7 linked regions of the Mus musculus genome follow. The protein of the gene in region 1 interacts with the protein of each later gene in a pairwise test. Links are inferred from orthologs where the notes say so. Each region holds a gene or a part of one and is shown in the gene's direction. Other genes may lie near its edges.

Region 1 (4,140 bases):
GAACTGAATTTTAGAATGCTCTGCAGGGCTGAGGGTACCACCCCTTTGTTAGAGTGCTTGTCGGACATGCACAAAACCCTGGGTTCTATCCCTCACACAGCATAAATTGGACATTGTGGAACATACCTGTAATCTCAACACTTGGGAGGTACTCCATGGCACGTTCAAGCCAGCGTGGGCTACGTGAGGTTAGTTCACATGAGCAAAACATTTCCTGTTTAACCAATGGGAGTTCTTAGCTAGGGAAGGAGGAAACTGATTAGTAATCATGTAGTTAGATCTTTAGCATTTAAAGCAAGACAGGCTCTATCTTACCTACACGACTGGCTTCTTCATAGTAGTCAGGTCTAGCCTTCTGTTACAGTTGGTTTTCTCACCAGAAGTTGATTTGTTTTCCATTTCCCATTGATTGAAGGCTGAAGCTGAGGTGGCCTCCTTGAACCGCAGGATCCAGCTGGTTGAAGAGGAGCTGGACCGTGCGCAGGAGCGCCTTGCCACTGCTTTGCAGAAGCTGGAGGAAGCAGAGAAGGCTGCTGATGAGAGTGAGAGGTGTGTGAATCCCAAAAGAATAGGCCGGCGGGGCTTCTGGGTGGAGCAGCCCTCTCCTGCCTGGCCTGAGGTGTCCTGGGTTCCATCCCTGGCACTGCAGACAGTAAAGCTGATAGTGGCTCTGACCTGGATTTTCCACTAGACCTGTTTTTTGTTTTGTTTGTGTTTTTTGTTTGAGGCATGGTCTCATGTAACCCAGACTGGCTTTGAACTCTTGAGCCTCCCGCCTCCACTCTTTGGGTTTGTTTTTGTTTGTTTGTTTGGTTTTGGTTTTGGTTTTTTGAGACAGGGTTTCTCTGTGTAGCCCTGGCTGTCCTGGAACTCACTTTGTAGACCAGGCTGGCCTCGAACTCAGAAATCCGCCTGCCTCTGCCGCCTGAGTGCTGGGATTAAAGGTGTGCGCCACCATGCTGGGCTTCGCCTCCACTTTTTAATTGCTGGGATTGCAGGCCTGTTCCACCGTATCCTGGTCTAGACCTGCTTTTGTTTTTGCAGATTGAACACAGTATCTACCTTCTGTGCTAAGCACATCCTCTACCACTGACTTACCCTCCCAGCCCCTGAGACCTACTTTTTAAATGGTAGTGATTTTATATTACTAGTATTATTTTATACTATGCAAATTGAACTCGGGCCTTGCAAATACCAGGCACCTGTTCTATTGTTAAATCCCATTCCCTGGCCCAAATTTGTTTGTTTTATAAGGAAAAGTTTTCAGTTAAATGGTACAGGTGCTGGAATGCTATGGAATTTCTGTTTGGGCAGCGGAACAGGAATGGGACTGGGAAGGGCGTGGTTTTGAGTGTTTGAAATGGAGTTGATGCCCAGCTCAGAATGTCATTGCTGTGTTCATTCTTTCATTCTGTTTCCGGCAGAGGTATGAAGGTGATTGAAAATCGGGCTCTAAAAGATGAAGAAAAGATGGAACTCCAGGAAATCCAGCTAAAGGAAGCAAAGCACATTGCAGAAGAGGCCGATAGGAAGTATGAAGAGGTGAGTTGCCTCTGCAGTGCGTGCGGGCCCTGCAAAGACAGTCAAGAGGGGATAGCTATCGCCCTGGCTTGATTGAGCCGTACTGGGGTCTTTTCTTCTAGGTGGCTCGTAAGTTGGTGATTATTGAAGGAGACTTGGAACGCACGGAGGAACGTGCTGAGCTGGCAGAGTCGTGAGTATTTTGTCTCCAGATCTTGTCAGCTCATCCTGCCTGCTTGGGCACTAATTCCGAGTAAACTAGCCTTCCTTTGACCTTGTTAAACAGGCCCTGGAGGGTGGTGGTCCTCTGTAGTGCTTTTAGCCTCCAAGAATGGCTTTGGGCTTTCTCTTACCTTGACTAGAAACAGGGAACAAAGCTTGCTTATTCTTGGGAAGATTCTCAAATAGAGGGACCATAGAGACTAATATGGCCACTGGCTAGTTGGAAGATCCTATTGGGTCCTTCCTCCTGGAATCTATTCCTCCTTGGCCTGTACCGATTTCGGGCCTGGTCTCTTTTTTTTTTTTTTTTTTTTTTTTTTTACAAACTTTGCCAATCTGCCTGGAAACTTGAGAGCAAAGGCTTTAGAGAAATCACCTGCTGCCTTGGTACCAGCTTGGCCTTGTGTAACAAAGTCAGCGTGGATGTGTATGTGTTGTGCTTGCCTCGCACACTCCCCGTCCTCTTCAGACATGACATATATCATGACCATGGCGGTGTTTCCTTTCCATCTGTTTGTTGTTTTGACCCACCCCACACCCCGTCTTGCGGCTTGTTTTCTTGCTCTTCCTTTTTTAACCTTTTCCCCACAACCTGGCTTGTGCCATTCCCGTGACTGTCACTAACAGCCGTTGCCGAGAGATGGATGAACAGATCAGACTGATGGACCAGAACCTGAAGTGTCTGAGTGCTGCTGAAGAAAAGGTACTAACCCTGAAGCCCGCGCACGGAGAGCTTCCTTCCGTGTGTGTGGTATGGTCTCCTTCGGTTTGGTTTTGTTTTGCAGCTGCCTCCCTCCACCAGTTGATTTGTTGAGTGCGTTCTCATCTCCATGGAATGCTCCATTCTTCCTTTCCACTTACTTGGCATCTCTCATCTCTTCTTTCCTAGTTGCTTCACTGCCTCCCCCTGAGGGTCTCTGCCTCCCCTGGGTGTTTGGGGGTTGTTAGGTTGGGCCTCTGTCCCTGTATCCACCCCCCAAGTAGCAGTCATAACTGTTCCCTGGTAGTGAGTGATTTCTCTCAAGTGTTCTTTCTTTATCAGAGCCAAACACTCCGAGCACAGGAGGGCCAGCTCCTAGCATACCTACCTGCTCCGTGCTAGGGGGAGGAGGGTTGATACCTGCTCAGGTTACCCAGCAGCTTTTCCTCCCTGATATACAGCCCAGCTCTCTCTACACATAGGCTCAATTCACATCTGTGTGTCTCTCTCCCCTTTTTTTTTCTTCCTCTTCCTCTTCCCCTTTTCCTCTCCTTTGGTATTAAAATGTTCACAGTAAGTGTTCTGAGCTGGAGGAGGAGCTGAAGAATGTCACCAACAACCTCAAGTCTCTTGAGGCTCAGGCGGAGAAGGTAGGGCTGGTTTGTGAAGATGCACAGGCTTTGGGGCTTGGGCCCAGCCCTGCCCTTAATGAAACAAGACATACCCATTCTGTATAATAATAATGAAAGACATACCCATTCTGTATAATAAATCGAGGGAAAAGCGAGCGTTCTCTTCCTTCCCACCTTTGTCTATCAGAGAGTAGGTTAATGCTAACTCCTCTGTACCCCCCCCCCCCCATCTCGGGTTTAAATAACTCTGGTCTGCGGTGCTCCTGGAGTGTGCTCCTTGAGTTGATACTGCCGTGCTCAAAATCAGTTATAAGGAGCATAAGATGGGGCAACAGAGCGCCAGCTCTCGAGACCTGTCTAGGAGCAGTCAGGGCAGATGATTGCCACTTACCATCATGAGGGATGCTTTAACTGTCGATTCCTGCTCGTTAACTTGGAGAAAGGAAAAGCACTTTGGGTTGACAGAAGTAGGATGAAAATTTAGGTCTGTTAACAAAAGAAAAAAAAAGGTCCTGGTGAAGTTTACACTGCAAGTTTTGTTTGCAGATAGTTGGGTCTTAGGACTCTTGCTTTTTTTAGTCCTGGACCAAATCAAATCCAGAAGAATGTCTATGACTTATGTGAGAATAATATGGCTGTTGTCTGTGAGATGGTCTCTACTCTGAAATTTGTATTCTACTTTTCTTTACAGTACTCTCAAAAAGAAGACAAGTATGAAGAAGAAATAAAGATTCTTACTGATAAACTCAAGGAGGTGAGCTGAGGGGCTGAGCCGCATGAACGATAGGAGGCGTTAATATTGTAATATTAATCCTGAGCCTTGCTGGCCTTGGCTCAAATGGCTTAGAGGCACGAGAGGAGGAAGTAACCATCTTTCATTCTGTTTGTTGTTGTGCTTCCTCAGGCAGAGACCCGTGCTGAGTTTGCTGAAAGATCGGTAGCCAAGCTGGAGAAGACCATTGATGACCTGGAAGGTATGGAGCACATGAGGGCGTGTGAGAAAGGAAGGCCTTGCCCGCTAATCTTGAGCCTTTGGTCTGTGCATCAGAGAAATGGTAGTGACTT
Region 2 (4,906 bases), on another chromosome or scaffold:
GTTTCTCAGCCGGGCATCGTGGCCCACGCCTTTAATCCCAGCACTCCGGAGGCAGAGACAGGTGGATCTCTGAGTTCGAGGCCAGCCTGGTCTACAAAGTGAGTTCCAGGACAGCCAGGGCTATGCAGAGAAACCCCGTTATGAAAAGATTTTTGGTTATGTCCAATAATTAAGCAAAAACCAAATACTCTACCGGGCAGTGGTGGAGCACACCTTTAATCCCAGCACTTGGGAGTCAGAGGCAGGTGGATTTCTGAGTTCAAGGCCAGCCTGGTCTACAGAGTGAGTTCCAGAACAGCCAGGGCTACACAGAGAAACCCTGTCTCCAAAAAAAAAAAAAAAAACAAAAACAAAAAACACTTTGACAACTAAGTTCCAATTTTCTCTAGCCTTACTGAACTCATATACATAAATTATATATATATATATAATATTTTTTTTGTTTTGGTTTTTTTTTTTTTTTTTTTTTTTTTTTTTTTTTGGTTTTTCGAGACAGGGTTTCTCTGTATAGCCCTGGCTGTCCTGGAACTCACTTTGTAGACCAGACTGGCCTCGAACTCAGAAATCCACCTGCCTCTGCCTCCCGAGTGCTAGGATTAAAGGCGTGCACCACCATGCCCAGCCATAAATTATATAAATTTTAAACAACTTTTTTCAAACTTTACACAAACTGGAATACTATGGGCAAATTCCCAGGGCCACAACCTCTTTGTGGCCACAACAAAACAGAAAGCCAAAACTGGTCCGAGATACAGACCACAATATAAAGGCTAAGTCTATCCAGGAAAACAGTAATAGTGGTCTACTTCCTCCTTAGATAATTTCTCTTCCTGGTACAAGAGCAGGAGGATGATTACCAAACATCCCGCGTCCCCTGATCTTTCAGTCCCTGGGAGCTACAACAGAACTTGCAAAGAGCCTGCCCAGAGGAGCTTGGGGAGGTGAGACCGAGGCAGTAAACTTACCCAAGCCTTTGCACCGGAGTTGTGCTGGGAAGAGCAGCCGGGGGAGGGTCACTGATGATAATCGAAAGAAAGCAGCCCAGGGAGGGTCACTTATGAGACTAGATTGCCAGAAAGCAGCCGGGGCTCCCGCCTGGCTTCCGGCGACCCCGCGCCCCGGGCAGGTCCTGACACCTCCCTGGGTATCAGCTGCTCGGGGCGCAGGGTGGATGCCCGGGATCTCCAAGCGGCGTCGAGGGGTGGTCACCTCGGTGGGCTTGCCTCGGGCCGCACCAGGGGAGGGTACCGGGACCCAGGGCACAAAAGCACGGCCACTCCAGTCGCCGCTTCACCCCTCTGGCGGGAGCTGCCCGGGCGGGAAGCGGACGCCGCTCGGAAAGCCGCTGCGACTGTCTCAGATCGTCGCCGGTGGCTGATGGCACACACCCCTCGCTGCCGACCCCCACACACCCCTCTCACACCCTTCCGCGAGCGGAGTGAGACGTCTGCTCCTCTAGCTGCCTCCTGGTCTCTGCCTCAGGACCGCGGAGCACTCAAACACCGCTGGGCCCGCCCAGTCCACACAGCGCGCGCCCGGGCACGCAAATTCACTCGCCCAGGGCCCGCCGCCGCGGCCGCGCGCGCGCGCCCCGCCCGGCGCGTGACCGCAAGCCCTGGTTGAGCGTTCTCGCATGCGCGGTGGGGTGGGGCTAAGCCGCGGGCTCGCGCCCAGCTAGACGTGGCACTCTCGGCCCCGCCCCCTCTACGCGCCTCTCCGCAACCTGCGCGCACCCGCGAGCTTGGGTCTCCCGCAGACTCAGTCGGGTAGCGGAATCCAGAGGCGGGGCCAGCCGCTTGAGGGCGGGGCACAGCCTTGGTGGGCGTGGCCTTCCGAAGCTGCTCTGCAGCCACGTCCCACGGCCCCCCTCCAAAGCCATCCTGGCTTCAAGATCTTCAGGGATCCAGACATGTCCGAAGTGAAGAGCCGAAAGAAGCCGGGGCCCAAAGTGGCTGCTCCTGAGCCCGAGAAGCGGAGTGATGGCAGGAAAAACCCCGAGGCGCGGGGGGACGCGGGCTGGGCGGACCCCCGCACTGGGCTCAGCCTGCTGTCTCTGGCGATGACCCTGGGCCTGGCCTGGTAAGTGTGCGATGCTGCAGGCCGTGGGTCGGGCCTCGCGTGGGCGCCTAGCACCTCGAGCCAACCCACTCTCGCTTGAATACGCTCTTTTAACAATGTTCTGGTAGCATGCTCCTGTCGCTGCCCTCTAAAGTCTGGGAACATGTCACCCAGGACTCGGCCCACACTTTATTAAGCATCTACTACTGCACGTCACAAGTTTGCACATACCTAAAAACCACTACTTCCCGTCCACTCTGTAGCTTTGCGGATGAGTTTGCTCCACCCTCCACCAAAAATCGCACTCTTAAAATGTCTGCAGCCTAATAAAAAAAAGTTCGTTGTTGCTGAGCGATAAATGCTAATGAGACTTTCTCCTATTTAGAGCTGTGTGCCTACATTAAAACTATAGTCCTTTTTTAAAGATTTATTCTTGTTTATGTGTATGAGTGTCAGTGTATTTGTGCACGTGTGTGCAGGTGCGCGAGGATCCCGCAAGAGAGTGTCAAATCCAAGAAGCTGGAGTTACCAATGGTTGTAAGACACCAGACATGCATGTTCTTAACAGCTATAAAAGACTATATAGTCTTACTCCTAAATTACAAGTTGAACTGTATGTAACATTGTAAAGAATATGTTTTCCCTTAAGACTAAACATTCGTGTTTTCTTATTGTTGTTGTTTTAGTTTTTTGATACAGGGTTTCTCTGTGTAGCCCTGGCTGTCCTTGAACTCACTTTGTAGGCCAGGCTGGCCTGGAACTCAGAGATCTGCCTGCCTCCACCTCCCTAGTACTGGTGTTAAAGGCATGTACTACCACAACCTGGCTGTATGACACATACAACCCAGCTATATACATGTATTTTTACACTTTATTTGCAGTAGTGGGGGCACCGCCATCCCGCTCAACATTTGTAGCTTTGAAACCAAGCATATATTAGTGATATATTAGTGTAAATGTGGAATAAGAGAGCTAATAGAATTCAGAAAAGACTCTGGATATCCTCCAGGGTAGAGTAGTTTTGATGCAGGTTTATTTCCAGCTTAGTTTATTGGTGACACCCTGAGTCCTTGAGTTTTTTGTTTTTTTTTTTTTTTGGGGGGGGGGGTCTATGGTTGAGTGGTTGGTTTGGTTTTTTGAGAAAGGCTCTTAGGTAGCCTAGGTTAGATTAGAACTCACTATATAGCCGAAGGTGACATTGAACCCCTGATCTTCCTGCCTTCACCTCCCAAGTGCTAGGATTATACTAGGCATTTGTACTGGGTAATGCTTGAGTACTGGGTTTTGTTATAAGTTAATAAAAACGTGTTCAACTGAAATACAGATCATTGTCCTCTTTAAAAAGAACTTTATTTAATGATAGTGTTAGTATTTGAAGAATATATTAATTCTGATCTAAATGTGTTGGATTTGCTGTTTTAAATAAACTATGCATACCTTAAAATGCATGCCTTTTTAGGTAAATGGGGACATGGTACATTTTGTATTGGGAAAGAATATTACTGAGTTATTGTTAGTTCTCTGTAGGGCAGTGTTTCTCACCCTGTGGGTTGAGACCCCCACAGGGGTAACATATCAGATATTTATATTGTGATGCATAATGGTAGCAAAATTACAGCTTTGAAATAGCAATGAAAATAATTTTATGGTTGAGGCTCACCACAACATGAGGAACTGTATTAAAGGGCCACAACTTTAGGAAGGCTGAGAACCACTGCACCAGGGCTTAATACAAGTGGTTTTAGTTGCTAAATTTATTCCTCTAGTTCCCGTTAATTAGACAAAGCCTCATAATCCACTAAGAAACTATGTCATAGAATGTTCAGCTTTTTTGATAATTCAAGTTCAAAAAATGATTCCGTTGAGTCAGCAAGATGGTACATTTGATAAAAGCATTTGCTCTGCAAAGCCAAAGGACAGCCTGAATTCTATCCCCAGCATTCACACAATGGAAAAAGAGAACTGAATCCCCAGAGTTGTCCTCTGACCTCCATACATGCACAGTGGAACACCTGTGACCACACACAGAGAGACAAATAAAAATAGTAATGAGGTGGAGGGCAATTGAGAAAGACAACCAGCTTCAGTCTCTGACTTACACACACACACACACACACACCACAACACACACACCACAACACATACACACACCTTAAAAAGTTGTGCTTCATCTTAGGGATTTAACATTAAGGGTTAAATTAAAGACAAAACATGTTAGTTACACTGATTAGAAAGGTTATTTATAAGCTGAGCTTTGTCTCTCCAAAGTGATTTTTTAAATGTCAAATCAAAATTATAAAGCAAGAGTGTAAATCTGTATCCAAAACTTTATCTATTTACGTTCATTAAGAAAAACTAATAGTGCCGGGTGGTGGCGGCAGCGGCGAACGCTTTTAATCCCAGCACTCGGGAGGCAGAGGCAGGCAGATTTCTGAGTTCGAGGCCAGCCTGTTCTACAGAGTGAGTTCCAGGACAGCCAAGGCTATACAGAGAAACCCTGTCTCGAAAAAAGCAAACAAACAAAAAAACAGAAACAAAACCTAATAGTGATATATTATTTTAAAATAACATACAGTTAATATATTTGGAGTTATTTAAAATTTATATTGAGAAATGTATGTATTTTCAGTATTGCTGTAGACAAACATCTACATAAGACTGTTCCATTGTTGTCTTATAATCAAACAACTTTTATAATAATCATTTTTATTGTTACAATATTTTATGAATTTTAAAGAATATGATAAAAATCGAAAAGTATTGCAGGTTTAGAAGGGAGGCTCTTTGGGAGGAGTTGGGGTACAAAGGGAAAGAAGAATGTGATGTAAGTCTTATTTACTCAAAATAT
Region 3 (4,140 bases), on another chromosome or scaffold:
CCCAGGTAGCTTAAGTCTCCGTCCTCCTGCCTTAGCTTCTTCAATGTTGGAATCAACAAGTGTGCTACCATGTTCTGCCCTCCAGGCTTATGTTTTATTGGGATGTGTTCCTGCTAGGCTCCCAAACACCCCATATTTCCAGCTGGGGTGATGTGTTAGGGGACATGATGAGTTCTTGACATCACCTGTCTCGTGCTGACCTCACATTGTTCTGCTCATTTCAGGCATTGGAGGCGGAGGAGAAAGAGATGGACACCCCAGACTCAGCCTCAAGGGTCTTCTGTGGCCGCTTCCTCAGCATGGTGAACACTGATGATGTCAATGCCATAATCCTGGCCCAGAAGAATATGTGAGCAGGCCATGGGAGGCATGGGAAGGGTCCTACTATCTCCCCCAAGCCCTGCCCAGGATGTGGTAAAGAAAACGAGCTCCAGGCTCTAATCTTGGCATGGGATCAGATCTTGGAGCTGTGCATGACAGGGCCAAGTGGTTCTGTCCCCAGGCCAGGGCTGGGAGGGCTGGAGAGACAGGAATACTCAGAGGCTCTTCTGGGCTAGCTTTTGGCATTGGCACCCAGAGCCCAGTTTGGGTATGCAGGGAGCCTTGTTCAGGATGCTTCATTCCCTTGCTGGGACAGCTTCACCCTGAATTTAGCTTTTGAAGGTGACTTGGTGGTGTTTGCTAAGCATGCAGATGCTCCAAGTCCGTTCTAGTAGCTAGCTCCATGTTCATAACACAGCCTTCAGCCAGATGCGGCAGTCTTCTAGGGCTCTCTGCCTCAGATTATTTACTTCATTATTTCCTGTTTGGGGGTTTTGTTTTGTTTTTTTAGGTTTTGTCACCATGGCCAGGATTCTCTCCTGGTTCTTTAGGTTAGGTTCGGATATGGTCACGTAAACTCCCAGACTAACAGTGACAAAATCAAACGGGAACTGTCCTGGCCCTTGGGATTGACTTGGGGTTTACACAGTGTAACAAGGAGCAGTCAGCTTGAGGAGTGAGTGATTCTGAGAAAGGCGGCTCACAACTGTGACTCATGTTCCCTGGGTCCCACACCTTCTGGCGTCTGTAAGCACTATATATACATGTTCCACAGAGGAACACAGGCCAAGTACAGAATAGAAAATAAGTCTGGGTCTGGTGCAGTGGCGCACAGCTTTAACTCCTTCATTCATGAGCTCCAAGCCAGTCAAGGCTACATAGTGAGATACTGACTCAAAAAAAAAAAAAAAAAATCTTATAAAAGGTCAGCTAGCCAGGCGTGGTGGCGCACACCTTTAATCCCAGCACTCGGGAGGCAGAGGCAGGCAGATTTCTCAGTTTGAGGCCAACCTGGTCTACAAAGTGAGTTCCAGGACAGCCAGGACTACACAGAGAAATCCTGTCTCAAAACAAACAAACAAAAAGGTCAGCTAATAAATAAACACATGTCAGCTTTGTGACTGGATGTAGTGGCACAAGCCTATAATCATAGTGCTTCTCTAGAGGCCATTTAAGGTCTGTTTAGAACATGAAGTAGCTCCCAGACCAGGCAGCATCCTGTCAGAACTAATGCATGCTAAAGAACTCCGTGAAGGAGTCAGGCTGCAACAAAGAGTACCTCTGAATAGGGCTTTCAGCTGAGCAGGAGTTGGGTGATCTGAACAGTAGATAGAATTCTTGAGGCCTTGGCTCTGTAATTAAATGCAGAGGCTGTGACTCTCAGGGATTAGCTCGGGCTGAGGGGGCTCCTAGGCCTGATGCAAAGGCCCTTGCCCTCTCCCCCTAGGCTGGACCGCTTCGAGAAAACCAACGAGATGCTTCTGAACTTCAACAATCTGTCCAGTGTGCGGCTGCAACAGATGAGTGAGCGCTTCATGCACCATACCCGCACCTTGGTGGACATGAAACGGGATCTGGACAGCATTTTCCGAAGGATCAGGTGGCCCCTCCCCCCAGCCAGATGCCTCCTCAGCCTGTCTTACAAGCAAGCACATCTTCCCCAAACCACTATTCCCCAATACCCCACTATTAGCCCTTTCTGTCTGTCACCCAACTTGCTTTAGATGTCCAGCTCCTCCACTCTGAAGCTCTGCCTATCACCTCCCAGATTTTACCCAGGAGCCTTTGCTAGCCTCTGCCTCCTTAGTGTCTTCTGAAGCCACACCTTTCCCCTTAAGTCCTTGCCCTACACTCTCTCCTCCCTCCCCTCTGAGGCTCCCTCCTCTTCTCTCCACTGGCTCTGCCCTCTGTCTTCTCCAGCCCAGAGAATTCTGGTTGTTTTACAAGGTAGATCTGACCTCTGAGGGAGTAATCTGGAAGTAGTGAGTCTACCCCCCACCCCCACCCCGCCTCCAATCCCACCCACTCCCACTTGTTTTTGAGACAGGGTTTCTCTCTGTGTAGCCTTTGCTGTTCTGGGACTCCCTCTGTAGAATAGGCTGGTCTCAAACCCAGAGATCCATCTGCCTCTGCTTCATGGGTGCTGGGATTGAAGGCGTAGGCATTTAAACACCCAGTTGTGACTTTCCCTTTTATTTGATAACTGTGCTACGTAGCTGGGACCCAAATATAAGTCAGGAGAGGTTATAGTTGGGTAGACAGGCCAGGCCCTCCACTTCTAGCTGGCTGGCCAGCAGAACACCAGGGACCCGGGTCCATCCTGGATAGAGGCAGGTTTGGTTGGGTCTTCCCACAGTGGTGCTGGCTCCTGGACCATGATACCCATGTCTGTGGCACTTAGGTGCTCCTTCAGATGTACTTCCCAGCCTTACCTATCACTGCAGTGGACACACCTGCAGCCAGCTGCCCAGACCCAGAACAGCCAAGACCATGGGATCCAGATCACACATATGCCCTTTTTTTCCCTCAGCCCAAGGCTCTGGCCTTGGGACCTAAGGGGACAAAGTAAACTCTACTCAAAAGTTTTGAGATGTTCTAAACCAGTCTATTTCATTCTTTTTTTTTTTTAAAGCATCACACCTTTTTTTTTTTTAAATATTTTTAAAGATTCATTTATTTATTATATGTAAGTACACTGTAGCTGTCTTCAGACAATCCAGAAGAGGGAGTCAGATCTTGTTACGGATGGTTGTGAGCCACCATGTGGTTGCTGGGATTTGAACTCCAAACCTTCAGAAGAGCAGTCGGGTGCTCTTACCCACTGAGCCATCTCTCCAGCCCCTTTTTTTTTTTTGGCTTTTCGAGACAGGGTTTCTCTGTGTAGCTCTGGCTGTCCTGGAACTCACTTTTGTAGACCAGGCTGGCCTCAAACTCAGAAATCCGCTTGCCTCTGCCTCCCAAGTGCTGGGATTAAAGGTGTGCACCACTACCGCCCAGCTATTTCATTCTTTCTATTAGTGTTATTTTGCTTTATTTTTGAGGTAAGGTCTCAATGACTATCCTGAAACTCAGAGAGAGCCTCCTGCCTCTGCCTCCCTAGTGCCTAGGTGCTCTGCTATCCTGTCTCCTACCTCCCTCTCATACACACTTGTAGCCCAGAACACCAAGCTGATCCTACATGGAGTTTGGGGAATAGAAGGAGCTCTTTGAGTTAATACAGCAGCATGTGTCCAGTGTGTCAGGTGCTGATCCTCAGCTGTTAATTGTGCCAGGCTGACTGCAGCCAGGACAGGAGCTGTGCTGTCTGAAGACCTTCCCTAGCTCCTGGCAGGCCTGGAGTGCAGGACTTAAGGCAGAGTAATCAGCAGCCAGTTCATAAGGTAATAAAGCCAACTGGGCATGATGACACATGCCTGTGATCCTGTGCACCGGAGCTTGAGACAGGAGGAATTTGATTTCCAGGTCAGTGGGGGCTCTGTAGTGAGTTCAAGGACAGCCTGAGCTACCAACAAATCTTTGTCTCAAAAAGCCAGAGGGGTCTGAGGAGACTGTGCTCGCCCAGTGCACATGTAATTCAGGCACAGCGGCTGTGGAGATGGTTCAGTGGTTACAAGGGTGTCTTGATCTTGCAAAGGACAGATGCTTAGTTCCCAGCACCCATGTCAAATGGCCCACAACTGCCTTCGACTCCTGCTCCAGAGAACTGGAGTCAGCCAAAAATCAAACACACACATACACAACACACACACACAAGAGAGAAATCACACACACACACACACGTTAAAGACATGATGAAAAAAAAAAAGTCTTTAAATTTTT
Region 4 (4,704 bases), on another chromosome or scaffold:
AGTTTTTATAGTAACAGAACAAAGTCATGAGTCAGGGCACCTTAAAAATACATTGGTGGGGGCCAGGTGGTACACTCCTTTATTCTTAGCACTTGGGAGGCGGGCAGAGGCAGGTGGGTCTCTGTAAGTTTGAGGCTAGCCTTGAGTTCCAGGACAGCCAGGGCTACACAGGGAAACCCTGTCTTAAAAAAACCCCAAACAAGGGGCTAGAGAGATGGCTCAGCCGTTAAGAGTACTGACTGCTCTTCCAAAGGTCCTGAGTTCAAATCCCAGCAACCACATGGTGGCTCACAACCATCCGTAATGAGGTCTGACTCCCTCTTCTGGAGTGTCTGAAGACAGCTATAGTGTACTCAAATGTATTAAATAAATAAATTGTTTATTATTTATTAATATTATTTATTAATATCAATAAATAAAATTATTTAAAAAACCCAAAACAAAAACAACCAAACAACCAAAGCAAACCAAGCCATTGGTGGTGGGCCAGAGAAATGGCTCAGGTTAAGATCACCAGGTTCAGTGCTCAGCACACACATGTTGGCTCACAGACATCTAACTCCCGTTCCAGAGGCTCTGCTGACCTCATCTGGTCTCTATGGACATCATGCATGCACATGAAACACCCATACACAAAATAAAATAATAAAACATAAAAAACCGGCCTGTTGGAAGATTTAAGTAGGCAGTTACACCAAAGAGAAATACCAGCTATATGCTTCTGATGCTGTCCGGGGGATTTTGGTTGGTAGAAACCGGGTTTTAATTTATTCCAAGAGGTTTTTATTCATTAGTCACAACACGTTAGAGCTGACGCAGAGGCAGGAAAGCAACGGGTAGGAAGGAGGCTAAAGACATAGCCCCTAGACAAATTTCATCAGGCTCTGGACCCGCAACGTGAAGGACTTCTTCCCAGGACTTCTCATTCACAAAAGAAAGAAAGTGAAACAAGCTAACCAATCAAAACAGTGCCCAAACAAAACAACCTGTGTATACAAAGTGGCAAGATTCAGAGGCAACGCAACTTTCCAAAACTTTGTTCCCTTTCCGAGCGTGCCCAGCAGTTGTGCGGCAAGCCTTTAATTCCAGGGAGGCAGAGGCAGGCACGGGTGGATCTTTGTGAGTTCGAGGCTACACAGAGAAACATTGTCTCAAAAACAAAAACAAACAAACCTTTCCTCCTGCGCGGTGCTATTCCATACATTACGGCGCACCCCGGGGCAGTGGAAGAGCGCCCTGCGGGACAGGCAGCCGGGCCCAGTTTGGTTCCGGGTCCCCTGGCGGGACTGCGGTTTGTTCTCAGGCTACGCCCGTGGAGCACATATTTAATTCTTTACGGGCCGTTTTCTCAGATCTCGCGAGACCCCGGCGGAAGTCTCGCGATATATAGACACCGGCGGAGAGGAGGGAGATCTGAGCGGCTGCTGCAGCACCGGGCTCCTCAACTGAGGTAAGGGACCCGGTGGCGGGATCTGCGAGCGCCCCAGGCGCCTCGCGCCCTGCCCGACCGTAACGAGGCCACGGGAGGGAGCTGTCTGCTGCCATCGACACGCATGCATTCTGAGTCGGTCCTGTCGCGCGCCTTCCCTTTGCCGGGTCCCCCGTGTCTCCCTCCCGGGGCCGCTCTGGACGGTCTCCCACCCCGGTGTCCCGCTGCAGAGCCTGGGGTGGCGGGCCTGGACCGGGACCGGGACGGGGGCGGGGGCGGAGGGGACAGCGTGGCCCACTGTGGGCTGAAGGGCTCCCGGGGTTGGAGTCGGTTATTTTGTAGGTCCCAGGGATCGAACTCAGGTTGACCAGTCTTGGTGGCAAGCCCCGGTGAGCGCTGAGTCGCATGTCAGGCCCACTGTGTGTGTGTGTGTGTGTGTGTGTGTGTCTGTCTGTCTGTCTGTCTGTCTGTTTGTTTTTGGCAGTACTGTTGATTGACCAAGGAACTTATGCATTCTACCACTGAGCTATGTCCCCAGTCCTTTTAAAAATTAATTAATCGGCTAATTAATTGATTTGTGTGTGTTTGCATATATATACCAGGCTTCCTGTCGAGGTTGGAGGATAACTTAATTCTCTTCTTCTTCCATATGGGTCCTAAAGATGGAACCTTGCTTGTCTTGTCTTGCCCTAAAGTGCCTTTACAGATTGAGTTGTTTTCAGTCCCCATTCTCGCAGAGCAGTACGCTAAGCAGTCACCTACTCTGCTGCCTCCTCAGCCCAATCCTTACTTTTTCTTCTTAATTTTTATTCTGTGATGGGGCTTCCCAAGTTTTCCGGGCTGATCTTGAACTTGCCACCAGCCCTTGAATTTGTCTCAGCCTTCTGAGTACCTGGGATGACAGACCTGTGTCACCAAGTGCTAGGTTCTCAGGCTGTCCCTTGGCTGAAACCAGAAAGAAGGTGTGTGTGTCCCTGTTAACTCAGGAGCCATCCAGAGCAGCTGGTGTCCTGGAAAGTCTGCTGTCTGGAAGTTCAGGGTTCTTGTGGAGAGGGTACAACTTGAGGTGGCGCTTTAGTTACCTGTGTGGTGTCGTGGCTTCTGAAACCGCAGCCCTTCATTCTTGTGTGTTAATGGCAGAGTTCTTGTGTTGGTCCGAAGAGGGAGGACAGAAAGTGTGTCTTGGTGAGCAAAGGCCCACTTCTCCCACTGTGCCTGTTGTCCACCTGGCCACTAGCTTCGCTTTGTCATATGTGTAATTGGGGTGCACACCACGGTTCTTGTAAGTGGGAAATTCAGAAGAAATTTCTGCAAAGTTACCCCCCCCCCCCACACACACCCGTTTTGAGATTGGGTCTAGCTGTATTTTTAGGTTTTTGTATAACCCAGGCTGGCCCATGACTTGTGATCTTGCCTCAGCCCCTCACATACATTCCTCTTCTCAAGGACCTTTCTCCAACTGAGAAATGCTTAGACTCCTGTACTGGCTGGTTTTGTGTGTCAGCTTAACACAGCTGGAGTTATCACAGAGAAAGGAGCTTCAGGTGAGGAAATGCCTCTGTGAGATCCACTGTGGGGCATTTTCTCAATTAGTGACCAAGGGGGGAGGGCCCGTTGTGGGTAGTGCCATACTGGACTGGTGGTCTTGGGTTCTATAAGAAAGCAAGCTGAGCAAGCCAGGGGAAGCAAGCCAGTAAGTCACATTCCCTCCATGGCCTCTGCATCAGCTCCTGCTTCCTGACCTGCTTGAGTTCCAGTCCTGACTTCCTTTAGTGATGAACACATGTTTGGAGGTGTAAGCTGAATAAACCCTTTCCTCCCCAACTTGCTTCTTGGTCATGATGTTTTGTGCAGGAATAGAAACCCTGACTAAGACAACTTCTTTGCTGCAGACTCTCTCCAACACCTTACCTGGTCTTTCAGTCTAACCTGGCGTGACATATATTCAGCCTCTCCATTCTGTCCCCAGTGGGTTGTGAAGGAGTTTAGACAGCTACTGAGGCAGTGCAGACTCCTTCCATACAGCCCCACTGGTTCACTCACTGTCCCCTGGGCTGACTCTAACTGGAAGTTGTAGGACAGCTCAGGTGACCTCCAAGAGAAAGGTTATGGGGTTACTCAACTCTCAATAGAAGACTGAAGAGGCTTGGGGTCCCCTGCCTACCACCATCGTGGCTTCTGAACCCAGGGCGGTATTGTTAGTTGCTGGCAAGTCTGGGTCTACTTATCTAGACTTACCAGAATATTTTGGACCTGTCCCAGAGTCCTCTGTTCTAGGGGGACCAGGCAATCGTTTGTGGGTTAAAGGCTAGAATGTTGCCTAGTCTGGATGTGTCTGCTTTTGTTGTCCTCATGTGTCTGAATCCCAGGGTGTCAGGTGTCACAGTGTGGGAATCATTTCTTTCCTCCCTCCTTGGGAGTCATGGGACTCAAACTCAGGTCAGCAGGGTTTGTGGGAAGCATCTTTATCCACTAAGCCACTTCCCCAGCCCCACACCAGGTAACCCACAGACATTAAAGTTACAGACATCCCACATAGATTCCATGATCCCAAACCGAGAAGAGACCCAACCAGGGTCACAGAATCCCAGCCATGTCCTCTGCCTTTCTGCCTGACTAGATGCCATCTGTCACTGCATGCCTCTCAAGGACCTCAGTACACCTATTTCCTGAGTGTCTGCACTCTGCAGTTTTTCAGTTCTCTAGCTCCTGGCTTCAGTCTGACAGCTGGATGCTGCTCATTGTCCTTATCCAGGCGTCTTGTGAGAGCCCTGCTCTCCCTTTGCTTGGCCTCCATGCCCATGGGAGGGCAGCAGTCCTGCCAGTGCAGCGCATGTGAGCCCCGTGAGTCAGCGTGTAAGTCCCCACCTCACTTACTTGACTCCTTCCCTGGCCCATCCCAGTCCCCGATCTGAACAGAGCCTTCGGTTTGCCCTTCTCTGTCCACTGACTGTTCTTTCAGAAAGCCCATGGTGAGCTGTTGCTGCCTGTCTCCAGCTCAGCTACATAGCCTCTTCTGGCTACTATGCACCTGTCATGCAGGTCCCAGCCTTGTCCTCCCCCCTGCTGGGGTGGGAGTGGGCATTTCTATCCTGATCATTCTCAGGCTCCTTTCCCTGGGAATATCTGCTCTCTGTAACTTCACTGATGCAGGATATTTGATCACAGTGTGAACCCCAAGATGTGTTCTTTTTTTTTTTAAGATTTATTTATTATTAGAAATAAATACACTGTTGCTGTCTTCAGATGCACTAGAAGAGGGTGTCAGAATCTCA
Region 5 (4,140 bases), on another chromosome or scaffold:
GTGTGGTACATATACATATATGCAAGCAAAACACTCATACACATAAAATAAAAATAGATGCTTCTGAACATAAGTTTTAATTTTAAAGAAAATTTGGTGTTTTGTATGTATGTATGTATGTATGTATGTATGCAATGTGCATGCTCACACATACCATGTAATGACGTCAGAGGGTAGCTTAAGTTCTCTCCTTCTATGTGGGTTCCAGGGATCAAACTCAGGTTGTCAGGCTTGGTAGAAAGTACCTTTACCCATGGAACCATCTCACTGTTCCTTAAATTTTAGTTTTTGAACTAAAAGGGAGTCATGATGATTCAAAGTTATAGTAGCATGAGAGTGAACAGAAGAAGGCAATATGTCTTCCCAAAGCACCGTCCCAGGTCTCCTTTGACTTCACAGCAGTCTGTTAGATCCAGAGGTTTTACCCATAACCTCTTCCACTTTACATCCTGCCACCTTCTACTTGATCATATGTATCCTGTTTCCTTCTCATTTCCTCCTCAGGGCACCCACTGCTTTACCCAGAGAGCCTGAGGGCCTGCCTTCCTTGATGGAAGCCCCCCAAGACACTTTCCCATATCTGAGAAGCACTTTTTGACCTTTGCCTATGGACCTCTCCCCTTGCTTCATTTCTCTTGACTGAAGTTCCTACAGCTTGGCTCAGTATCTCTATCGGTCTGTTCCTTGTCCCCACAATCCTAGATTGAGACCGTAATGTAGCACCTGTACACGTGAGATGCTTAGGAGATTTCTGTAAAGTAAAAGCTGTAGAATCCCAGGTTAGACACACTCTATCAATAATGAGCTTCCTTTTTGCTTTGCAGTGGGAAGCCTAGAGCCCCGGATTGAGGTCCTGATTAACCGTATTAATGAGGTTCAGCAAGGTGAGCTCAGTGATTGGCTGCCATCCAGGACCAGCTACAAGTTTTAACTGGCCAGGCCCAATAAAAAGTGGAAATACAGGGGTCCTTGTTAAAGTCTCTGTAGTTATTTCATGAGAGCATAAGTGCAGGGCCCTTCTGCCTGTAACCGCCATAGTCATTTGCCTGTGAACACAGCCCTGCTGCCACCCGAGCCTAGCAAGAAGGGCCAGGATTTAGAAAGCCTTGTTTCCTGCTTTGTAAAATCTGGGCCCCCTCTAAGTTTTCTTTGGGGGGAGAGTGTGAAATCTCCTCATTTGTCCTTGAGGCTGTACTTACCAAATGTCTGTCCTCCTCTTTGGTAAAGCAAAAAAGAAAGCCAGTGAGGAGCTTGGAGAGGCCCAGACTGTCTGGGACAACCTGCAGAAGGAACTGGACTTACGTAAGTTAACTGAGAGTCACTAGAGGTTTCTATGATGTCTTAGACTTCTAATGCAGTCCTGCAAACACCCGGGCCATGACTTCTCCTCCAACCTCATTTCTTCTAGCAGTCCCATCTTCTAACAGGAGGGCTGTGGAAATGCCTTTGAGGCCTGTTCTGCCCTGAGTCCTTTGCAGAGATGATCCTCCATGTATTGCCCTAGATAATACAAGTTATTGCCTCACACCAGCAGCTGTATATTATTAGAAATGTCTTTCTTAGTCATCTTGCATTACCTGATCACATAGCCCTTTTGATTGGTGTTGTTTTTCCTGGTCCCAGTGGTTGTTGTACATGGACATGGATATCTTTTGTGAAAATTAGGGCACATTGTGTTTACAGGAATGTGGATACCCGTAGGGGTAGGAACTTACCTCAAGGAAACTGCATCTGGGTTAGGGTCACAGTTATACTTGCCTCTCGTATGACTGCCCTTGACGTTTCTGTGTTTGGTCTCTAATGCCTGAACCTTCATCATCTTTTCTAGTACGTGAAGAGAAAGTACGTCTGAAGGATATTTTGAACAGAAAGGAAGGTATTCCCATATTACCCATTTCTAGGCTTTGTGATACCCTATCTAAGCCCACTCTCTCTAGTAGCTAGAAACTTAAGAACTCCCAACCTTGTGACATTCCTATGGCTTTTACCAGACCCAGAAAATGTCAAAATCCAATCAAGTGTCCACAGACTTGATGTGATATGTTTTTTTCTATTTGCCAAATTAGATGCCTTAGCAAGCACTCAGAGGGCACTGTTGTTATCCTTACAGAGACCCTGAGGATTATGCAGCTGCACTGCCAGGAGAAGGAAAGTGAGGCACAGAGGTAAGATGCCATGCCTGCAGTGGTTTCCCTAAGTGTTCCTGTTACCTCCCACACCATCTGCTCTGCTAGACACAGGCTTGAATACAGAGGAACAGAATAGAAGCCCCCAGCCCTCCCTCCAGGAGAGTCATTCAAAGAACATGGCTGAGTGTTGGTTTCTTTCCCAGGAAGCACAGCATGTTGCAGGAGTGTAAAGAGAGAATTTCTTTCCTGAACTCCCAGATCGACAAAGAGAAGGCCAAACTAAGAAAACTGAGGTAAACCTCAAGGTGTGAGGCTTGGGCTGGGGACGTGATATAGGTATAGTAATGCCCGGGATGGCCAGCCATAGTCCTGGATGGTCAAGGGGTGAAGCTATTCCTTGTGTAAGAGTGGACACGAAGTCCTTGGGTGCTATATAGACTCAGACCTTGGCCTAGCTCTGTGGTAGTTCATGGCCATCATGGCTCTGTGGTTGCCTCCTAGGTTGGATTTTGAAGAACATCTGGAGACTTTGATGAGTCAACATAAGGACACCTTGGAATTTCATGTGAGTCATACAACACTATGCTACCTATTATACTTTGTCCCTGTGCAAGCATTGGTTGGTGGTCCTGCTGTCATCGTAAATCCAGTCCCTGGTGACCACTCTTGAGATACTTGGTGTCTTCAGTATTGGTCCTTACCATTCACTCATGTTGCTGTGTCCATTCAGTGTTCTCTATGTCAGTGAGGAGGCCAGGAGGAGAGAAGAGAGGAAGAAACGCTAATACCTAAGTCTTCAGAGTGTCTCAGGATTGTAGGATTGCAGATTTTAGGGTTTCGAATACTTGCCCTAGAACCTCATTACAGGGTTAAAGGTCCGAGGAGAGGGAATGACGAGATCCATAAACCATAGCTGGCACACACCAAGGGGCAGGGTCCTCGGAAGTGAAACTTACTGAGAGGAGAAATGATGAGATGTAGACAGGCTTCTCTGAAGCTCAGGGGAGCCAGGAGATCTGGACATATCTTCTTGTTTGTGCCCCCCCACCCCAGAAGCCTGAACATCTGACAAAGGAGATGTGTGTTTTGGACAGCAGCAAGGAGCAGCTGCTCAAGGAAGGTGAGGTCAGGGCCAGAAGGGTGGCTCTCAGCTGCACCAACCTGCCCTTACCTTCTTATTACTCTTTCTCTCTGTAGAGAAACTGATGAAAGTAAAGCTGGAGGATGTGAGACAGCGGCTGTGTGCCCTGGGCGGGCCTGAGGGTTCTTCCAGCCTCATTGAGGGACTCTTCCTCCGAAGCCATGAGGCAGCTGCAGCAATGTAAGATGCAGGGTGGGGCAGGAGGAGGAAATGTCTAGCACTGACTTCTTTCCACACTATCAGGCAGATGTTCAAGGATGAGAACAAGAAAGCTGAGGAGTTCCTAGAGGCTGCAGCTCAGCAGCACGAGCAGCTGCAGCAGAGGTGCCACCAGCTACAGCAGAAACGGCAGAGGTAGGCACGGAGCTCCTGTGTCCTCATTTCTCCCAGGAAGGTGAATGGCAGCTGTTTCCCCTGTTCTGCCGGTATGTCTCTTCATATTTTCTTGATTTTTCTGCTTTCATTCTCGTCCTTCACGCTTCCCGGACAGGCTGAAGGAAGAACTGGAAAAGCATGGGGTACAGATCCTTGCTCATAGTACGCAAAACGAAGAAGACAGCTCATGGAGGATGGTAAATCCGGGAACAGAAGGGAAAGGAAAAAAGTGGTATTCTCCAGAGTATAGTCTGTGGAAAGGGCATTCCTCTGAGGAGGCACAGCTGAGGCAGAGGTGTAAACTCATGGTAGCATGGGCACAGAAAGGTAGAAAGGGGTGGTAGGAGCAGGGAAAAATGCCTGGGCCTTTACCTCCCACAGGCCAGTCCTAAACCTGTAGAAGTCCACGAGGAGACAGCCCAAGACCAAGAGCGCCCATCAAGCAGGACCTAATACCCTCCTCAGCCTGGAGGACTTACTGACTTCAGACATCAC
Region 6 (3,335 bases), on another chromosome or scaffold:
GCTAGAAGAGGACATCAGAACTCATTACAGATGGTTGTGAGCCATCATGTGGTTGCTGGGAATTGAACTCAGTACTTCAGGAAGAGTAGTCGGTGCTCTTAATCACTGAGCCATCTCTCCAGCCCCCTAGTTCAGTTTTTTAAAAGCAACCAAAATTCTCAGGGCAGGAACCAAACTCCAGTTCTCATGAGAAGCACCAGCACTTAACTGTTGAGCCATCTCTTAAGCCCCTGGCCTCAAACTCTTGATTCCCACCTCAGCCTGTTTGCTTGTTTGATTTTTGAGACAGTGTGTTACTATGTAGTCATAGCTAACCTGTAACTCACTTTGTAGACTAGGCTGGCCTTGATCTTCCTGCCTCTGCCTCTCAAGTGTTTCCTCAGTTTCTTAAGTGCTAAAGTTATATGCATGAACCATATTTTTTTTAAATCTTGTTTTATTTTATTATTTTATTTCATTAATTTTAAAACAGGGTTTCATGAAGCTCCGGCTGGTCTTGAACTGCCAACATAGCTGAGAATGGCCTTGAACTTCTGATCCTCTTCCTTCCACCTCCAGAGTGCCTGGATTACAAGTGTGCATCACCACCTTAGTTTATCCAGTGCTAGGGACAGAATCCAGGGCCTAGTGCATGCTAGGCAAGTGTTCCTCCCACTGAGCTACATCCAACCCCCCTAGCCTCATATTTTAATATTTAACACCTACAAAGCCTCCCCTGTAGAAAGTGCACACCTGATAGCATTTCAAAATCCTTGCTTTCATGCTGTAAAGTGAATGATTTAGCCTGTTTTTCCTTTTCTTTCTTTTTTAGTTTTTATTTATTTATTTTTTGAGACAGGGTTTCTCTGTGTAGCTCTGGTTGTCCTGGAGCTCACTTTGTAGACCAGGCTGGCCTCAAACTCAGAAATCCTCCTGCCTCTGGGATTAAATCCGTCACTACCGGGCTAGCCTTGTTTTTCAATCAAGGAAACTGAGGCTCAAAGAAAATAGAATAGCTACTTAGAATCGTGTAGCTAATCAATAGGAAAGTTGTTTTGTTGTTGGTGGGTTTTTTTGTTTTGCTTTGTTTTTTGAGCTAGGGTTTCTCTGTGTAAGCTCTGTAGACCAGGCTTGCCCCAAACTCAGAGATCCGACTGCCTTTGCTCTCGAGTGCTGGGATTAAGGCATGCACCACTGCCTGGTTGGGAAGTTGCTTTTTTGTCTGGTGCAAGGCATGATGGAACCCAGGATTTCAGACATGCTAAGGTGGCAAGTTGATCTCCAGCCTAGCTTGATCTGAAAATTTAAACAGGAGTCTCTTTGCTCTAACCCTCCCACCCCCAATCTCTTTCCGTGCTTTTAAAAGTGAAGTGTAGCTGGCTGAACTGCAAGATTCGGGAAACACCTGGGGAACTCAGCTTGAAACGGAACTAATCTCTTTTCTCACTTCCTCAGGCTTACCTGCGAGCTATCGATGTGAAGATCCTGCAGCAGCTGGTGACCTTGAACGAGGGTATTGAGGCAGTGCGCTGGCTGCTGGAGGAGCGGGGTACACTGACGAGCCATTGCAGCAGTCTCACCAGCAGTCAGTACAGTCTGACAGGGGGAAGCCCAGGACGCTCAAGGCGGGGCAGTTGGGACAGCCTGCCAGACACCAGTTCAACTGACCGGCTGGACAGTGTCTCTATTGGCAGCTTCTTGGACACTGTGACCCCCAGAGAGCTGGATGAACAAGGACTCCCTGGGCCTTCCTGTCCTGAGATTGACTGGGCAAAGGTTATCCCCACTGAGGACAGGGCCAGGACTGAGGTGGACATGACATCCACTAAGCTAGGGAGCTTAACAGCCACATGGAAGCTCCCGGGGGATGGGCTCCAGTGTGGACCACCTGAGCCATCAGAGGATGGCAATGCTAACCAGGGCTTTGAAGCTCATTGGTACTGGGGACAGTGCCAGGATGATGTGACCTTCTTGTAAAAACTTTCCTACCCATTTGTACTTTGTGGCTCTTTCAACTTTTGGCCCAAGTCTCCCTCAATTTTTCCTCCACCTCCAACTAACTAGACAGAGGCTGTATTACAATCCGTTACCATGGAAGCCTGGCTTATCTCTCTGGTTCCTGGGGAGCCTCTGCATTTATCCCTCAATTATTGGGTCCCTAGAGCTATTTCCATAGAGATATTGACTCTAGAGGCCTAGCCTGTGGCTCCTGTTGTAAGGGTATCTCCATGCCCCTCCCCAGTGAGGTGAATTTTATGGAACGTAGGGCCTCTAGGAGATCACTGAAGAAGAGATGGGGGATAATCACCCCATCCAAAGCCTAGGAGCCAGGATGCCTCTTACAGAACGGTGGAGATTGACCCTGTCAGATGCGCAAGCCTCCATGGACTGGCCCTCCTAGATGCCTTTGGAGTTGGGAGACCAATCCTTTCATGCCTGCTGAGTGACTTCATTGCCTGTCATGATACATGAAGTGCTTCCTCTGTACCAGTCCTGGTGGGTGTGGCACTTAATGTCCCTGCCGCTGCCTCCTGTGATAGGGAACATACCGCTTTTCCTGGGAAATGTGTGTGCTGCTTTTCTCAAGTTCTTACTTTTCAAACATGGTGTTTTCATGTTGTACCCAAGGATTTCACTACTATGGCTACATCCCTGTCCAGGGCTGTAAGGATGTACTCTTAGTAACAAACTCAGAGGCCTCCACTTAGGCTCCCCAATCTGTTTGGCTTACTTTACTGCAGACTCTTGTCTGGCCCTGGGCTGCCCTCATCCCTGATTCCTGCCTCCAGATCTGTCGTCTAGGAGTTTAGTCTGAGTTTCTTCACACATTCACATTTTCCTTTTTAGGCCTCTTGGGTTTTTTGTTTGTTTGTTTTTGGTGACAGGGTTTTTCTGTGTATCTCAGGCTGTCCTGAAACTCAGTCTGTACATCAGGATAGCCTCGAACTCACAGATCTGGCTACCTCAGCCTCCTGAGTGCTGGGGTTAAGTGTGTGCCACTACCGCCCAGCTAGACCTCTGCATTTTTATGTCTCTTATGCCTCTGTTGCTTGGGAATAAGGAGAGTGAAGGTCTCCTTATTCTGGAGACACTCTTGGATAGTGGGATGATCTTGTCATCTCTACCCCTGTGCTTGCTTACTATTCCCTCATTCTGGCCAGCCTTCCACAATTTGGTCACAAGGATGCTTGCCTGAAGTTGAGACACAAGGAATCCCTTTGTCTGAGCTACAATGTGGGAGTGTAGCAGGAAAACACAGAGGCCCTTTGGTCCATGGGCCTCATTAAGGAGAAGAGACAATGCAAAGTCCTTCTTTAGGGCGAGCCCATCACTCCTGGACTTGATGGATAATCAGG
Region 7 (4,140 bases), on another chromosome or scaffold:
GTCATTTCATCTTTATGTTCCAACTTCCATTTGTCAGTAAGTAAAGAAACAGGAGAGCAATAGAGGGATCTATTTTTTGCTTATGAGTAAACGAGGCTCATAGCAACAGGTTCTTTGGAGGGGTGGGGGTGGGGGAGTGATGAGTCTTGTTCTTGCTGAAAAGTCACTTGAGCTAAAAATAAGCTGATGACTGACAGGGTTTGAGTGTAGTGAGCCAGCCTTAGGCAGACATGAAGAGCAGTTGTCGCATGTGGCCTATGATCAAAACGGTAACCTGTGTTATGATGTAAAGTAACATTAAGGTTAAATATTATTGAATTCATTTCCCAGTGTTTCAAGTATTTGTTTGTTTAACTTCTGTACGAAGTTCTAATGCATTAAAGTAACAGCTGTTCTTAATTTTGTACTTGATGAAAAGACTCTGTTACTATTTTTCATAAGACAGCATTTTGGTTGAATATGAACTACTTCATCTGCACTTTCTTTTTTCAAAAAACAAAGTTAATTGATGAACTTACAACAGGACTTCAGTTTTTAGCCAGCACTTTTCCTGTTCAACTTTGAAGTTTGAATTTGATGTATAATATAATACTTAGTTGATTTTTTTTTTTTTTTTTTTTTTTTTGGTTTTTGGAGACAGGCTTTCTCTGTATAGCCCTGGCTGTCCTGGAACTCACTCTGTAGACCAGGCTGGCCTCAAACTCAGAAATCCGCCTGCCTCTGCCTCCTGAGTGCTGGGATTAAAGGTGTGTGCCACCATGCCTGGCTTGATATATTCTATTTTAATCATGTAATTGCATTTCATAAAGCATATGAAACTCTACAGAGTCTGAACGGTCCTCCAACTACTTTGGCCTTCTTCAGACACCAGAACACTTTGGTCATTATTACTCACAGGCTTCACTTGTACTTGGCATCTATGGTAGGAAGCTGACAATACAGTTTCAAGTCATAGTGGAAGCTGCAGTGGCTCTCACAGGCTACCTAGAAGCTTCCTAACCACCTAGTTAACACATACATTGCTGGACGCCATCAGAATTCAGATGGAGCAGTTTTGTAGTGAGGTTGAGGATTAAACGTCTAAGAAGACACTGGATCGGCGTAGCCAGCCATGTGTCTTACATAAAGAAACAAGCCTATAAAATAAGAGTAGTTGGTTAGGTCTATTTGTTTAATAAAGTTTCCTCTAAGTTTAGCAGATATTTAAAATTTACTATGTCTGTAGCTTGGGTAAGCTTGCATGGATGATAAAACTGGCCAGTATACTCTTTGAAGCCTGAATTGTATGATCTGTTCTGAGTTAGTAATTCCTTTTGCTTCTAATTATATTACCTTTGTTAGAAAATGGTTGTCGTACAACAGTTTGTCTTTTTTGCTTCACAGTGCTGTCTTCCTGGAAAAACAAATCTCATATGTTAAGATTGTGGGAAATATAATGACTTAGCATTATATGTGTGTGTTTTAGAGGCATTTATTGAGCACACTGCTTGAAGGCAGACAGCTGGGTTGTAACTAATGTAATTTAATATAATTTGCAAAGTCTTTTTTAAAAATTTACACAGTCTTTGATGAAAGAATTTTATTTACATTTTCCTCTCAGATTGTCCAGTTTATTGTTACATTGGTTCAGAATAATCAACTTGTGAGTTTAAAACGTAAAAGGTAAGTTTTTTGAGTTTTGGCTTACAAACATTTAAGTGTTGAATCATGAATACCTATTTGCTGAGTGTATGCCTGGTACCAAAGAACAGCTTTCCCTTGTTAAATTATGTTAGCATTTCAAGAATAGTCTTAACAGGGTGAGGATCCCTTTCCACAATACTTAGGATAGTAGAAATATTTGAGAATTTGGGGGGATATTTACAAGCCTATGAATCACCAGTGATGAAATTTATGTCTGAGTTCAAATGTTTGTGTTTTGTGTGCATGCAGTCTGAAAGTAATTACATATAATATCTTTAATAATTTTGTACATAAGGTAGTTTAGTCATATAGCTAAAAGGGCTCAGAAGATTTTCATCTCATAGGCCCTTAGTTCACCATGGCCCATCACATAAGTATGAGTGAATTTTCCATTTGTGCAGTATCATCATAATAAGGTTACACATTTTGGATATATGCACCCTGTTTGTCTTCTCATTGTCATCCTTGTGATGATCTATTGTCATCTCCCCCACCCCCCTCCCCTGTTATAGGGCCTTACCTAGATACCTGGAAGTCGCCTCAAACTCACCAGCTCCTAGTCTGCCTCCTGGGTGCTGGGGTTGCAGATAGCACTGCACTCTCTGCTTCCTGCTTATGTTTGTAAGCTAGGCCAGGTGGTCACTTTTAGTAGCCTTGCAGAAGTTACTGAGTTTTCATTCATGTTACCAGTTTAAAGTAGCATTAAAAGGCCCCAGTGAGGAGAACTCTTTAAAAATAATGTTGTGAGGAAGGAGAGAATCAGATATTTGGTTTACTTTAAATTTAGTAGACTTGATAATTTAAAATCCTAATGATAGGTGGTAATGCATATAAATATGTTAGCTATTGGTGACATTGTCATATCTGAACTAGAAGAATAATTGACAAAGGCATAGATGGAAGGAGGAAAAGGTGAGCTATAAGGCTAAGATTTTGACAGTTTATACATCTAAGTCTGTGGCTTTAATTCTATTGCCTTTTATTCTGTGATACTACTGTTTTAAAAGCTAGGTATACTTTGTATGGAGTTGAATAGTTCTAAAGAATTTCTATTGTATACTTATTGAGAGCTTTCATTCACTATTGAAGGAAGTATATGAGTAAATTAGTAGAAACCTTTTATTCTTTCATTTTTGGGGTGAAATTAAATATTACAATTCTTATTTACAGGCCTCTACTTCTAAACACAAATGGAGCCCCAAAGAAGAATCTATATCAGCACATAGTCAAAGAACCAACTGATAATCACCATCATAAAGTAAATTTTAATGCATTTTATATTTATTGTCTCAAACTAAATTTTATTGTGGCAGTGTTTCATGCAGTCAGAGCCGTTTAGTGAATAATGTAAGTGCTCACTCCCCAGCTCTGCCGCGTTGTGACAGTTCCGTTATTTGCTGTCAGGTATTTTAAGAAACATCGTTACAATACAGTTGCTTATTTCCCAGCTTTCTAGTTGTCATTGCCATGCTGTTTTGTGTGGTACATTCAGAACTATGACTGTTATTCTGTGGATATCTACACATGCCAGTGGTGATGATATTTCAGTACTGTGCAATGTGGACTGCATGAAGTTTACCAGGGAGCTCTACCTCAACAGCGTGGCCTTATGTAGTTTTTATAGTGCTGTATAAGGTGAAGAGTGATGCGGTCATCATAGTGTAACATGATTATGGAATTTTCTTTTCATCTACCATGTGCCAACTAGAGTGCTTTTCTCTAGCAATTTCAGAATATTTGTGCATGATTTTGTTTTTGCTATAGACTATATAATTTGTTAACATCTAATTGCAGATTAGTCTACCATCAAACACGTTGTGCCTTTTTTTTTATGATACTGCTCTCTCTCTCTCTCATTGATAATCTCCTTTTTCTTTTTTGATGTACTAGAGATCAGAGCTGAGTTTTTGAACAGTAAGGCAAATGCTGTCCTACTAAATTACTCTTATTTTGAACTGTTAGAATTTTCAAATATTATGTCACATTAACTGTTGGGCTGTTGAAGTTTTGTTTATTTTACCCCCCCAGGACAGTGTTAACTTCATCATATCTCAGTGTTCAGCCCCTTTCTCTTTCTAAACCAAGTATATATTGTAAACCTGTGTGGCATGGGTGTTGGGTTGAAAGCTTATATAAAGTAGATGAAGGTTTGCTTTAGTTTAACTGAAATTTATGTATCTTTAAAGTGTTTCATATGTTTTAGATTTTTTTTGTTTAACTAGTGTTTATATATTTAAAACATTTTACTTCTCTTACCTGCGTCATCTATTGTTGAAACTTAAACTTCTTTTACATTATAGTAATTACTTGCTTGGTTAGAGAACTTGACTTCCTAATGTAACTGTCCTGAGTGCACCCATACATTTTATTTTTCTTTTGGTGGTCCTGGGTATCAACCCTAGGCAAGCACTTACACTGAGTTCTAGTCCCAGCTACCCTTTTTCATTTTGTGATGGG

What was found.
Region 2: the proteins of Tpm3 (region 1) and Ikbip interact in a two-hybrid assay, tested with the Homo sapiens proteins (2 studies listed by BioGRID). The two-hybrid records come from large-scale screens. The link is inferred for Mus musculus from reciprocal best matches to the Homo sapiens genes TPM3 and IKBIP.
Region 3: the proteins of Tpm3 (region 1) and Kxd1 interact in binary tests that used the Homo sapiens proteins (3 or more experiments, as listed by UniProt). The two-hybrid records come from large-scale screens. The link is inferred for Mus musculus from reciprocal best matches to the Homo sapiens genes TPM3 and KXD1.
Region 4: the proteins of Tpm3 (region 1) and Mad1l1 interact in binary tests that used the Homo sapiens proteins (3 or more experiments, as listed by UniProt). The two-hybrid records come from large-scale screens. The link is inferred for Mus musculus from reciprocal best matches to the Homo sapiens genes TPM3 and MAD1L1.
Region 5: the proteins of Tpm3 (region 1) and Syce1 interact in binary tests that used the Homo sapiens proteins (3 or more experiments, as listed by UniProt). The two-hybrid records come from large-scale screens. The link is inferred for Mus musculus from reciprocal best matches to the Homo sapiens genes TPM3 and SYCE1.
Region 6: the proteins of Tpm3 (region 1) and Lurap1 interact in binary tests that used the Homo sapiens proteins (3 or more experiments, as listed by UniProt). The two-hybrid records come from large-scale screens. The link is inferred for Mus musculus from reciprocal best matches to the Homo sapiens genes TPM3 and LURAP1.
Region 7: the proteins of Tpm3 (region 1) and Hsf2 interact in binary tests that used the Homo sapiens proteins (3 or more experiments, as listed by UniProt). The two-hybrid records come from large-scale screens. The link is inferred for Mus musculus from reciprocal best matches to the Homo sapiens genes TPM3 and HSF2.

The regions. Positions count from the first base shown.
Region 1 is NC_000069.6:90,086,031-90,090,170, forward strand, and holds part of Tpm3 (tropomyosin alpha-3 chain), read left to right. Parts: intron 1-415; coding exon 416-549; intron 550-1,424; coding exon 1,425-1,542; intron 1,543-1,643; coding exon 1,644-1,714; intron 1,715-2,370; coding exon of another isoform or gene 2,371-2,446; intron 2,447-3,017; coding exon 3,018-3,093; intron 3,094-3,766; coding exon 3,767-3,829; intron 3,830-3,979; coding exon 3,980-4,049; intron 4,050-4,140. UniProt on the Homo sapiens protein: Binds to actin filaments in muscle and non-muscle cells. Plays a central role, in association with the troponin complex, in the calcium dependent regulation of vertebrate striated muscle contraction.
Region 2 is NC_000076.6:91,081,218-91,086,123, forward strand, and holds the start of Ikbip (inhibitor of nuclear factor kappa-B kinase-interacting protein), read left to right. Parts: upstream 1-1,821; 5' UTR 1,822-1,909; coding exon 1,910-2,079; intron 2,080-4,906. UniProt on the Homo sapiens protein: Target of p53/TP53 with pro-apoptotic function.
Region 3 is NC_000074.6:70,516,146-70,520,285, reverse strand, and holds part of Kxd1 (kxDL motif-containing protein 1), read left to right. Parts: intron 1-224; 5' UTR 225-248; coding exon 249-349; intron 350-1,768; coding exon 1,769-1,921; intron 1,922-4,140.
Region 4 is NC_000071.6:140,318,253-140,322,956, reverse strand, and holds the start of Mad1l1 (mitotic spindle assembly checkpoint protein MAD1), read left to right. Parts: upstream 1-1,404; 5' UTR 1,405-1,450; intron 1,451-4,704. UniProt on the Homo sapiens protein: Component of the spindle-assembly checkpoint that prevents the onset of anaphase until all chromosomes are properly aligned at the metaphase plate.
Region 5 is NC_000073.6:140,777,619-140,781,758, reverse strand, and holds part of Syce1 (synaptonemal complex central element protein 1), read left to right. Parts: intron 1-824; coding exon 825-884; intron 885-1,227; coding exon 1,228-1,302; intron 1,303-1,828; coding exon 1,829-1,876; intron 1,877-2,110; coding exon 2,111-2,165; intron 2,166-2,332; coding exon 2,333-2,422; intron 2,423-2,630; coding exon 2,631-2,694; intron 2,695-3,182; coding exon 3,183-3,249; intron 3,250-3,326; coding exon 3,327-3,450; intron 3,451-3,513; coding exon 3,514-3,624; intron 3,625-3,760; coding exon 3,761-3,842; intron 3,843-4,026; coding exon 4,027-4,098; 3' UTR 4,099-4,140. UniProt on the Homo sapiens protein: Major component of the transverse central element of synaptonemal complexes (SCS), formed between homologous chromosomes during meiotic prophase. Requires SYCP1 in order to be incorporated into the central element.
Region 6 is NC_000070.6:116,135,934-116,139,268, reverse strand, and holds the end of Lurap1 (leucine rich adaptor protein 1), read left to right. Parts: intron 1-427; exon of another isoform or gene 428-563; intron 564-1,434; coding exon 1,435-1,956; 3' UTR 1,957-2,541; downstream 2,542-3,335. UniProt on the Homo sapiens protein: Acts as an activator of the canonical NF-kappa-B pathway and drive the production of pro-inflammatory cytokines. Promotes the antigen (Ag)-presenting and priming function of dendritic cells via the canonical NF-kappa-B pathway.
Region 7 is NC_000076.6:57,499,770-57,503,909, forward strand, and holds part of Hsf2 (heat shock factor protein 2), read left to right. Parts: intron 1-1,600; coding exon 1,601-1,662; intron 1,663-2,853; coding exon 2,854-2,941; intron 2,942-4,140. UniProt on the Homo sapiens protein: DNA-binding protein that specifically binds heat shock promoter elements (HSE) and activates transcription. In higher eukaryotes, HSF is unable to bind to the HSE unless the cells are heat shocked.